Cricetulus griseus: one gene and its partners. The protein of the gene in region 2 interacts with the protein of the main gene of each other region in a pairwise test. Links are inferred from orthologs where the notes say so. Each region holds a gene or a part of one and is shown on either strand. Other genes may lie near its edges.

Region 1 (4,075 bases), on a different chromosome or scaffold from region 2:
TTGTTCAGAAATTGCTTCACACACACATACACACATGCATGTGTACACACACACACACACACACACACACACACACACACACACACACACCTCTGCATCAAAAACAGTGATTTAAAAGTTAGAATGAAACACCACCAGAATTGCAGCTAGCCAGATATCATTGGAGATGAGAAGCAGAGGGAATTTCGTACCTTCACGTACAGCTGCTGGAACTCCTCAAGATTCAGCCTCCCGCTTGGACAGTCTTTGAGGAACCCCTTGTACCACTGCTTGAGCTCATGCTCGTTGAATTCGGTGCTCTTCACCAGGTCCTCCATGACTTCGGGGGCCAGTTTGCTATTCTGTTTCCCCATTGTGCCTGCAGAAAACCACAAACCACATTGACGTAGTCAGCACAGTGGCCAGAACTCACTTCTGCCTGTCTGATCCCAGCCTCCCTGAGTCTGCATCCTTCTTCCACTTAGTATTCCAGAATAGACAGGAACAGGAAAACCCCTTTGGAGGAGCCTGCAGTCTGTGCAGCTCCCTGTCATTGTGTCACCTGTCACAAGGCATTGATTCTTCCATGGAAACCAGAGAGCCATTTTACTTGATGTTCATCACAGGTATATGGAAGCTTGTTGTCTACTCTTTTGAGTTACAGTTCACTGGTACTTGATACCTAAGCATCTAATTTTACACTTAACTTGCATGGATATTGGGAGAGATATGGACAAGACCCATGGGAAGACTTTATAACCAAAAGTTTAAAAACCTGACCATCTATTGTAGTGTCTTGGTTGGTCTAGTTCCCAAGTCCTGGATTTTTTTTTAATTGAATGAAAACATTTTTATTAGTCACATCAATTCATACTCTTCTAATTTCTAGACATTCCCTATCTTCAGTGTTGACTTTCCCTAAAGATTGGTTAGTGAATTTTCATCAACTATATTTCATCCTGTCACATTTAATCATTCAAAGTTAAAATATCAGTGCATGAAGTCATGTCTCCTACATGAACTGTAAATTGCATGGTCACAGCAGAGCATAGAGTAGGAGGACAGCTCAGGTTTAGAATCTCCAGATTGCCTCCTGGATTTGTAAGTATCTATGTGTGCTAGATACATAAATATTAATTATTGTCCTCTTTCAATTGCTTCATAAAATAAATTAGCAGATGTAACAGGATCCAGCTTTACCGGATGCTTAATTAAGAAATACATAGGTGAAGACGAAAAAGAATAACTTGAGATTAAAATAGTTGTACTTTTGCTAGATTATTAACATTTTAAAATCCTTTTAATGTCATTTTAGTATAATAAAAATCATTAAACTGTGGCCAATAAACTCCAGAGTGACTGAAAAAAATTCATGACAATCTGAGGACACTTGAGAAGAACAGTCCCAGAAGATGTTTGAGAGATGTAACTAGCAGGGTGATTTAGGTTTTAAAGAATGAACTCAAGTGGATCAGTTATTCCATGCATTTTAAGCAGGTCTATACTTGCAACAGCCCTGAGGGGAAAATGCCATCTTATACTTCGCTATTGTAATTATTTTAATCTCTTCCTAAAGCAGCTCCTGCATCCTTTATCAGTAACCTGCTCCAACATAGACCAGGCATTTCACTATAATGAAAGCAAACCCTGCTCATTACTTCCAGGAAAGTTTCCATCCTGGCATCACCCCAGCAGCACGGAGCCATTCCGAGGACACCTTATGGTGGCTAGTTATTTTCCAAGCTCCTCTGTTTGACCAAGGTGCTCTGGGATCAGCAACTCTGCCCTGTATCGGGAGTCTTTTGTTCACTTCTGCTCTGAATTTCACTTCAAAGTCTTTTATTAGCAACTGTCTCTTAATTATAAGTTACTGTGGCATTCCACAGCTGGATGTGGAAATGAGTGGGTACTCAGGTGTGAGATTTAATTAATCTGGGTAAGAAAACTGTAATTCACTGTTAGCCTCAGAATCAAAAGATGGGCCGCCAAAACTTTCAGGCTGTTACTTTGTTACTTTTGATAGAGAGGCATCGATTTTCCTTATTTAGAATCCCACCTCACAGCAGTAAGTACTGAATATATTATGTTGGCTTGGAGAAAGCCGTAGATCAGTGGTTCTCAACCTATGGGATGCAATCCCCTTAGAGGTCTAATGACCCTTTCTTAGGGGTCACCTAAGACCACCAGAAAACATAGATATTTACCTTGTGATTCATAATAGTAGCAAAGTTACAGTTATGAAGTAACAATAGAAATAGATTTATGGATGGAGGTCACCACAACATGAGGAGCTGTATTAAAGGGTCGCAGCAGTAGGAAGATTAAGAATCACTGCCTTAGATGGAGCACTTCACATACTTCAACAGGGACCAGGACATCTCCCCGAGACTCAGAACACTGTGGTAACTTCTACAAGATCACACAACCAAGGAAATGCAAAGCTAGGGTTTGAAACTGGATTTACAAGACTAAACTGCATCAGCAGAGATACACAAGAGGATGGAAGCATCTCTGGATCAGAAGAGGAGGAGCAAAAGTTGGAGGGTCAGAGAGATCTGACTCATGTTGAAAAAGGAAAAACAGAGAGATGGGTCACATTGCTGGATTGGCTGGCTCATTAGAGAAAAACTTACCAAAATCACACTTGGCACATATATAGTAATTAATCATAAGAAATAGGTTAAAAGTTATGAGAAACCACTCCCCAAATACCTGTAGAAATTCAGCAGTGTAGAAAAAGCAGATTCTCCATGGATCATTTGCGATGCCTCAAGCTGTTCCCACTGGCTGAGAGAGGATGAATGTCTCTCTCACACACAAGAGGCATTGTCAGGGCTATGAGTCATAATTCTGGAGAACCAAGTGCATAACTTCATGCCTTTTGGTTACAGTCACAGTCAATGTTATTGCTCAGGTGTGCCCAGAGTGGGTAGATCATGTACAAAGTCCTGTTATGGCCTGTTTCAGTGATTGTGCCTCTGTGCCACCCCCACCCCCACCAGGCCAGACTTCACCAGGCTCTCCTTCTTCCTCACTCCCCGGGTTCTATCCTAACCCACAGGGCATAGCTGCATGAGTACAGTTTTGAGCCACCAACCCTACCACTGGACTTGTCTCTTCAAACCTCAGCACTGCCCCCTTGTCCACAGCACACGGCGCCACCTCCTGAGCATGGCACATATTCTGCTGTTTGCTAAGTAGCCTCACTTTCTTCCTGTCTGTTGTTTTACTCCATATGGTAACAATAATGAGCAGTTATAAGTTTCAGAGCTTGCACGTTGCAGACCTCCAAGTTCTCTAGGATGATGTTCCCTTTGTCATCTTAGCCAATTCCTTCCTGTCTGCCTACATAACCCCAGTTCACATCTGACCTCCTCGGTAAGATCTTCATGGTGGAGCGATCCTTCATCATAGGTCTCTCCTCTCTTGGTAGAGCTTCCACGGTGTCCTTATTTTCCTACTGGAGTTTTTTTCTTCTTTCCTCCCTCCCTCCATTCCTCCCTCTCTCCTTCCTTCCCTCTCTCCTTCCTTCCTTCCTTCCTTCCTTCCTTCCTTTTTTCTTTCTTTCTCTTTTTTTGTGAGAGAGAGGGAGGGAGAGACAGAGACAGAGAGATACACAGAGACCAAGAGAATGAGGGATGACTGTCTTTCCGTCCTTGGTAATTTCTATTAGATGTTCCACAAACACATTTTGAGGGAATGAGTAGTAAGGTGGACTCACATATTTGATATGCATTTTCCCAGGGAAATCAGTCTCATTATCTCGATATGAAGAGGGTTGATGGACTCTTAAGTCTGAGATACAGCCCACAGATGGCAGATATGTTTTGCTTAACTATGTGGAAAATAGCCTGTCCTGCTAAAGATGGCTTACCTGTCTGTTCTCATTCATTACTTCTGAATACCTTGAAGGCAGAGTCTGTCTTTCACCTCAGAATCCTTGGGGGCTGATAGAAAGATGGTGCATGGCAAGGTTTTTAAATGAATGGGCGGAGATGGCTTGATGCTTCTGAATCATGGACCTCTCATTCTGGGCCACAGTGGCATGAGCCAAGTAAGCTTTCTTATCATGGAGCCAGAATGGCAAAAAGGGAAC
Region 2 (4,296 bases):
AAAAGGGATCAGAAGTTCAAGGTCATCCTCAGCTACACAGCAAGTTCACGGTTAGCCTGGGCTATTGGAGACCCTATTTAAACAAGAAAAAAAAAAAGATAACTGGGGCAGATGTGGTGGCCCCAACATGAAATTCTAGCATTTGGGAGAAGCAGGAGGATGACCTTGAGTTCAATGCCAGCCAGGACTACAGAATAAGACCCCTGTCTCGAAAACCAATAAACAAGAAATGCTGAAAAATACAAATAGATACGGAATACAAAATAGTTCCTAGATGCAGTGTGTATGGCCAGTATCTCACTGTCCTCAACGCAAATGCCTGGCACCTACTGCTCCCTCAGAGGCACGAGGAGTCCCCTTTACCACCAAGAAGGCCTGGAGCAATTGTCTGTAGGATGCACCAGCCCATGAGAGGAGTGGCTATTGAATGTTGGCGGTGCCAGCACTGACGGTGGGGTGGTCTTTGCACTGAGACCCTCTCGACCCCATGTTATACTCCCACTCTATTACCATCCCCACTCAACTTGGTGAGCTCACACACTTGGGGACAGTGGGTCAGGGACTGCAGACGGGTCTCCTGATCCCCCAGATCTCCCAGGTGTCGCCTGCACCTGGAGTAGGAGGAACTGGGTAGTCCCAGTTGGTTGCAGGCTCCAGGCTCTGTGAGGCATCAGTGCCAAGTTCATGACCCCTGACCTCTACTACAGGCTCTGAACATGGCCCATGCTAACCCTTGGCAGGTGGGGACTATGGCCAACAAGTGGTCCAGGTGTGCAGAGGACCAAGGAGGCCACGGAAGCCTGAGACGACCCACAAGGCCAAGGGTGCTGAGGATGACGATCAGGCTGGCCTCGAACTCACAGACAGCCTCCTGCCTCTGCCTCCCATGTGCTGGGATTAAAGGAGTGTTCCACCAGCACCCAGCTCATACCTCTCACTTCTAAGTTGCTGGAGTACATGTTGAGACTGTCAGGCTCTGTCCTCTCCGGATGGGGAGAGGGTTAGAAAATGCAGCCTGATCTTGGGGTGGCACTCAGGATGCAGGAGGAAGGGTGGAGAGTGACTGTCTCAGCCAGTGTGACCTCGACAGCCCTGGCTGAGGGGTCGTGGAGGGAGTATGGGAGATGGGACACCCAGGTCTCCACCTCATAGTGTGACCTTGGCAGGCGTCCCTGCTGTCTGTCTGGCCTCTGTCCTGTACTCTGTGGAGCCTGTGCTCCCAGGCAGGTGCACTCGGGGCTGGAATCCCACAGCTGTGAGCATGGGTTGACCAAGGGACCTGTCACTAAGGAAACATCTAGATACCTAACTGCTAGAACTCCGGCCAAGGGAGACTGCAGGGTTTCTGGGGAGGCTCCGACTCTGAGAGCCTAGAGTTGAGAGACCCATCCTTACACTCCACCGAGCTTCACAGGCCGGGGTATGCTGGGTTCCTCAGGTCGTACAGGACCACACTTCTTCTAACACAGTGGAGGACACCCAGTAGGTAGCCCTGCTATGTTACCATCAGTCAGTCTGAACCAACTTCACACAGACTGACCCTGCTCTTCCCCTCCCCCACCCATGACCCCACTGCTGACACCTTCCAGGGACCTGAGTCACCTGCCCGAATACTATTCCATGAACTTGGGACAGAACTCCCTCAGAGTGCAGAGGAAGGGGGAGGAATGGTTTTTCAACATTCCCCAGACCAAGGTTCCCTCTAGGGCCTGCCCAGCCCCCTCTCAGACCAGTTTATCCTTCTCTGCTGTGTAAATTTCTGGAGCGGCCAGTGGAATCTTCTAAGACCTTGGGTGAGGAGACTTGGTCTCTACACTCTCACTCCCAGTCTGCCCCCTGCTCCCACGAAGGGTAAGAGTCCCAAGTGGGACAATGGCCCAACCTTTTTTTTGGTGGGGGGCGTTGTTTTGCTTTGACACAAGGTCTCATGTAGCCCAGGTTGGCCACAAACTGTGCTGTGGGTGCTGGCCTTGAACTCTGGATCTTGCACTCCTGAGATTACAGGCATGTCCCGACACCTTCCAACCTCTTTTCTAAAAGATTACCCCAAAGACAAATATGCCCCTCCCCCAGCCTCCGTGAAAGACCCTACACTCGCATTCACAGACAGGTACCGCCCCCCACCCCACCCCCCACTCCGCGCGGCGCGCGCCAACAGATAGAGTCACTCTCGTTCCCTGGAATCACCTTGGGGACAACCAAGGTGCCAGGTCAGAGACAAAGGCCCAGGGGTTACTGGGAACATCAACTGTCCTCTCTCCACTCCTGTCCCCTGGGCAGAGATGGAGGTGGGGATGGAGTTAGGGATGAGGGTGGGGCAAAGCCAACCTTGATAACCTGTTCGTCCCTCCTGACCCCCCAAGGGGTTTCTAGGGCTGAGGACAGAGGCACCGGGAGGGAACGGGATCCCGGGCTAGGAAGGCCTGCGTCTTGGGGAGCAGGAGCGAGGTCTGCTATCTTCCTGGAGCTCAGTGGCCCGTAAGAGGACCAAAAGAACCGGAAGCCGCCCTCCCTTCCCAGGCACACTGCAGGAGGCGTGTGGCTGCAGGGAAGAAAGCATGGCACCGGGGACCTTGCTTCATGCCACCTGCCGGGTGCCGAGTGGGGCGTGGGGTGTGGAGACCTCCGCCCGCTCCGCGCTCTGCACGCTGCCCGCTCTCCTGCCGAGCCCGGTCCCAACGGAGCACGCGTCCCCTGGGGCGCTACTGGTCCGTGAAGGGCGGACACCCACCCTGGGCGTCCCCGGGGCCGCGTGCTGGTACCCCCGCCCCTCGCCGCGTCCCGGGCCGCTGGGTCCTCACCTCGCGACACGCAGGAGCCCATCACGGGGCGGCGGGGCCGGGCCACTGCGCCCGGGTGCGGCGGGCGGCCGCGCGCTCATGTCTCCGCGGCCGGGGCTGCTCGGCTCGGCCTCCGCTAGCGCCTGGGTCGTCGTCCCCGCTGTCGCGTCCCGATCGCCTCGCCTCGCCTCGCGCCGCGCCCGCAGCTGCCAGGACCGGGCGACGCCGCTGCGGGTGGGGGTGGGGGGGACCCAGGGAGCGCGGAGGGCGGTGCTGGGGTGCGCCCCGCCCCCTCCGTGCCTGTGCACCTGTTGTCGCAGCCCGGGGTAACCTGGACTCGGCCCTGTAAGGAAGACTTCTAGCCTCAGACCTGAGCCGCACCTGCTGTCTGGAGCTCAAGGTCAGGGGAGGGGGCTGGGACCGGGGAATTCTGCAAGGAGGAATCTCATCCCACTGTGCACACTGAGGATGGAGACTTGGTGTGTGTGTGTGTGTGTGTGTGTGTGTGTGTGTGTGTGTCCGCGTGCGCGCGCCACAGCATGAGTATGGAGATCAAATGACACTTGGGGGAGTCTATGGGGAGGCTATTTCCTTCCACTATATGGATCCTAGGAACCAAACTCGGGTGGTCATACTTCCCGGAAAGTGCCTTTACCGGCTGAGCCACCTCCCCCAAGTCAGAGTTTTTTAATAGTCACCTGTGCATAGGAGGATGCTGGCCCAGGATGAGCGTTCTGAGGGAGGACCAGGATATAGTGGCCTCCTGGCTGGATAGAGGGCTCATGCACACACCCTCCTGCACATACGGTCTCCACAGCTCACACATACACTCTTGTGTGCAGTCACATGCGCCCATTCAGGATTTCAGAGTGACCAGCCACTCCTTGGCAAACGTTGCCAGGCTCCCCGTATCTGAGGCAAATTTCATCTCACTCCATCCTTGGGCAGAGGGGTCACTGGATCTGTTTACCCAGCATGGGTCACTAGAGCCAGCCCTGAGGGGTGGGGAGGGCTTAAAACAAGGTTCTGGGTGGGGGCTGAAGGCCCTGTGCAGAGCAAAAGCCAAGCCTGGGGGGTCTGCTCAGGGCTGCGCAGTTGAGCTCTTGAGGAAAGTCCGAGGAGAGATGGCTCTGTTCTGGCCCTGCTGTTATCAGATGTAGGTTTATCCAGCTCAGATAAACCGTGTTACTTAAACACACAATTGAGTCTGGAAGGAACATATGTGGTCATCACTGCTCCAAACACAACGCAGAACGACCGCATTTATCAGACATGGGGCATCGCAAATAATCCTGACACAGTTGGACGTACAGTGCATGGGAGCAGGGGTGATGTCACTCCTATAATGCCAGCTCTGGGGAGGTAGAAAGAGGAGAATCAGAAGTTCAAGGTTATCCTTGGTTATATAGTGAGTTCAAGGTCAGCCTGGGCTACATGGGATCCTGCCTTGAAAAAGAAAAGGATGAGAAAATAAAGTGTATGGAAGGTTGTGCATGGGTTATGAGGCAATGCTGCA
Region 3 (4,002 bases), about 18 Mb from region 2:
CATCATGATCACGGTGCCCACCATTTTATAGATAGCCTGGTGGAGCAATGACAGAGGTGTGAACACCCAACTGGCAGGGAGGGCTGAGGATGGATAAAAGGGGGTCTGTCTGGGAGTGGACTGAGAAGATACTGGAGGACGGTGAAAACACTAGAAAGAGACATGTTGTTAAGACTGGCTTTTTAGGGCTGGCTGGAGGGCTGAACTGGAAGCAGCTTGCTGCACAAGCCTGAAGACCTGAGTTTGTTCTCCAGAACCCACATAAATGTGGAAGGAAAGAACTGACTCCACAAAGTTGTTCTCTGACCTCACATGACACTGTGGAAATGTAACCCTCCATATCACTCATGCACGCGAGTATGCGTGCACACACACACACACACACAGACACACGCACGCACGCACGCACGCACGCACACATTTCTTTACCCATCATGTGATTCTGAATGGCCTGGAACTTGCTATGTAGACAAGGCTGGCTTTGAACTCACTATGTAAACCATGCTGGCTTTGAATTCACAGAGATTCACCTCCCTCTGCCCACTGAGTGCTGGAATTAAAGCTGTGCACCAATTCCTAGTGCTCGACCTGGCTTTTTGGAGCCCATTCCCTATGGAGGGATACCTTGGTCAGCTTAGATACAGGGCGGGTGAGAGTATGTGAGGGTGTGATGTGACAGACTTTGATGATTCCCCACTTGAGGCCTCACCCTCTGAGGAGTGGATGGGGGGTGGGATGGGGAGATGGGGGGGGAAGTGGAAGGATGGGAGGGAGAGGGAACTGGGATTGGTATGTTAAATAAAATTGTTTTAAAAAGAAAAAGGTGTGCACCAACACACCCAATTAATTAAAAAAAAAGACTGTCTACCTAATGAGCACTCAAATGACTCATGCCTCAAACTCAACTCTTTAACCCACTTCTCACCTGCCGTACCTCTAGAATTCCACCTCAACAAGTAACAACTCCACTCTGCCAAATTGAAAGCAAAAACAAAACAAAACCCTAAACCATCATTTGTTAAATTTGTTGAGACAATGTTTCACCAGTAGCCCAGACTGGCTTGGAACTCAATATGTTGCTCAGCTTAGTCTTGAACTCACCATCCTTCTGCCTCAGCTTCTTGAGTGCTGGGATTACAGAGGTGTGCCGCTCAGTTCTCACGTCATTCTTCTCTCCTCTCTCTCTCTCTCTCTCTCTCTCTCTCTCTCTCTCTCTCTCTCACACACACACACACACACACACACACACACACACACACACTCCTTCGGCAAAAAATGTCAACTCTAATTTTGTAACGGCCCTATGTTGACTTGCTTTCCACCATTTCCACAGTTCATGCATGAAGGCAGCTTCCAACAGTCCTGACTGGATTTTTGTGGAAGTCTCCTTACTGGTCCGACTGCCCCTTCTGCCCACCATCTCCTCAATTATCTGATCTCAACACTCAGAATACACTCAATGCCTCTACCCTAGCCTGAGCCACTGACGGGACCCCTGTCTCCCTGTGGGACCATCTTCCTGCCATTCTCCCCTCTGCTCACACCTCCACTACTGCCCTGGCCTCCTGCCACACTGTGAGCCAGGTGAACACAACCTCACCTGCATGGTGGTTCACTCTGGGGACCTGAGAGTTCGTGCCGCCCTCTTCCTTCCTCTACTTTGCTTATCTCTGTTTTCACACCAATTACTGCCTGGCATGGCCCAAATTTACTTACTGACTTACTAGAAGGGTCTCCTATGAAAGCACACGGCAGACACTTAAGATGTTTTTTAAAAGCAAAACTACGAAACAAACAAACAAAAAAAGCCAGGCTGTGGTGGCACACATTTTAAATCCCAGCACTCGGGACTCAGAGGCAGGTGGATCTTTATGAGTTCGAGGCCAGCCGTCTACAGAGGGAGTTCCAGGACACGCTCCAAAGCTACACAGAGCAAGAAACATGGCCTGGCTGAGATCAGACAGAGGTCAAAGGACAAACGTGTAGGAATTGGTTCTCTCCTTCTACTATGTAGGGTCACAGGGTTAAAGCCGGGTAGTGAGACCTGGCAGCAAGCACCTTTACATGCTGAGCCATCTCTCCTGACCTCAATAATTAACTTCTTGAAAAAGCAAAATGAATTGACTTGGCTACTCTAGATTTGATTGACTGTTGGCTGCCACATGCTCCCTTTGTTCATCTGGGAAAATGGGGTATCTGACACTATCTACCCCACGGGATAAGCATTGAGCAAGGGGTCTGCAGACTGTGGTGGGAGAACACTGGGGAGCAGCTACGAGTCTCCTGAGGCTCAAGGACACTGGACGCCCACCCTGGGCCCCCGCACCTCGATGATCTCCAGCATCTCCAGGCGCGTGATGCGCCCGTCGCCGTCCAGGTCGTACATCTCAAAGGCCCAGTTGAGCTTCTGCTCGAAGCTGCCACGGGAGGTGACAGAAAGGGCGCAGATGAACTCCCGGAAGTCAATGGTGCCATCGCCGTTCTTGTCGAAGGTGCGGAAAGCATGCTGTGCAAACTTGGAGGCGTCTCCGTAAGGGAAGAACTGAGGCAGGGGTACGGGTTATTGGGGCGCAGCGACAGACCCACCCTCCCTGCCGACCACATCCTTCTGAGTTCCACCAGCTCTCAATCAGGTCCCCAGTACCCGTCCACCCCGCCATGCCATGCTCCACCCTGCACCTTGATGTAGAGCTGCTGAAACTCCTCCAGGTTGAGGATGCCGCTGGGACAGTCCTTCAGGAACCCCTTATACCACTGCTTTAGCTCCTGCTCGCTGAACTCTGTGTTCTGGACCAGGTCTTCCAGTACCTCGGGGGCCAGCTTGCTGTTGTTTTTCCCCATGGTGGGCCTGCAGGACAGAGAGCTTGCTCAACATGGCCCCAGGCTAGGACCTCACCTCTGTAAAGTGGTTCTCCACCCTTGTTCCACTTGGACCTTTCTTCACAGTCCCCTCCCAGGAGGAGCCCTTCTTCCTAAAGTCAGTACCCCTCTCCCCACAACAGTGCCCCCTTCCCTGGCCAACCACTTCAGCAAGCTCCACCTTCCTTCAACACCCTCAACATGCACTCATCCCTTCTCAAAGGAAGCCTGCTTTCATTGGGCAGTGGGCTCCCTCTCCCCTCACAATACGGGGCACCCCAGAGCAGACCCCTCTGGAGGACATTTCCAGCCTTTCCTGGTGGCGACTGATCCCCTTGGTGACTTGTGACACAGTATGGCCCAGTCTTCACCCTCACTTCACCCATTATTCATCATTCCCTTAGTCCCTAGCATAAAGCCTCAACTAATCTCCCTGCTAGCAAGGGCTGGCTGCATTCAGCACCCTCCCTCCTGGGCAGACTCCTCTTCTATCAAAGTCCCCCAGGAACCATTTCCCAAGTTCTTCCTCCAGGCTTTCCTGGGAGCCCCACACAGGAAGCATCTCTCTTTCCTTCCTTCCTGAGAACGAGTAGAAGGCCTAGACTGGAACGGTGTTGACCCCATCACACTTTGCTTTTCATTAACCCATTCACTCCCTGAGAATTTGTTGGAGACCTGGACTTGGTATGAAGATAAAGCCAAGATGAGCCAGCCTTCAGTAGCTCATGCAAGGTTTCTAGAGATAGATGACTGTCTGCAAAAAGCCTTCAATCCACGACAACCTGGAGGTTATTTGTTTGTTTGTTTGCTTTTCAAGACTGGGTTTCTTTGTAGATTTGGAGCTGTCCTGGAACTCACTCAGTAGACTAGGCTGGCCTTAAACTCACAGAAATCCTCCTGTCTTTGCCTCCCCAGTACCAGAATTAAAGGCGTGCGCCACCACTGCCCAGCCAACCTGGAGATTTTAAAGCAAAGAGTTTGGAAGCTAACATTCATTTCCTAACACAGAGCACTCACAATATGCCAGGTCCTGATCTATGTCCTGGAAATCCAGAGATTTTTGAAATTTTCCTTTAGCTGCAATGTGCAAGATGACTTGAGGGTAGGGCTGGAAAAGAGGGCTTAGTGGTTAAGAGCACTTGC

The links.
Region 1: the proteins of Fam131c (region 2) and Vsnl1 interact in binary tests that used the Homo sapiens proteins (3 or more experiments, as listed by UniProt). The two-hybrid records come from large-scale screens. The link is inferred for Cricetulus griseus from reciprocal best matches to the Homo sapiens genes FAM131C and VSNL1.
Region 3: the proteins of Fam131c (region 2) and Hpcal4 interact in binary tests that used the Homo sapiens proteins (3 or more experiments, as listed by UniProt). The two-hybrid records come from large-scale screens. The link is inferred for Cricetulus griseus from reciprocal best matches to the Homo sapiens genes FAM131C and HPCAL4.

Annotation. Positions count from the first base shown.
Region 1 is NC_048600.1:21,348,007-21,352,081, forward strand, and holds the start of Vsnl1 (visinin-like protein 1), read right to left. Parts: upstream 2,809-4,075; 5' UTR 2,692-2,808; intron 359-2,691; 5' UTR 354-358; coding exon 192-353; intron 1-191.
Region 2 is NC_048595.1:11,885,806-11,890,101, forward strand, and holds the start of Fam131c (protein FAM131C), read right to left. Parts: upstream 2,824-4,296; coding exon 2,802-2,823; intron 1-2,801.
Region 3 is NC_048595.1:29,808,482-29,812,483, forward strand, and holds the start of Hpcal4 (hippocalcin-like protein 4), read right to left. Parts: upstream 2,842-4,002; coding exon 2,680-2,841; intron 2,543-2,679; coding exon 2,327-2,542; intron 37-2,326; coding exon 1-36. UniProt on the Homo sapiens protein: May be involved in the calcium-dependent regulation of rhodopsin phosphorylation.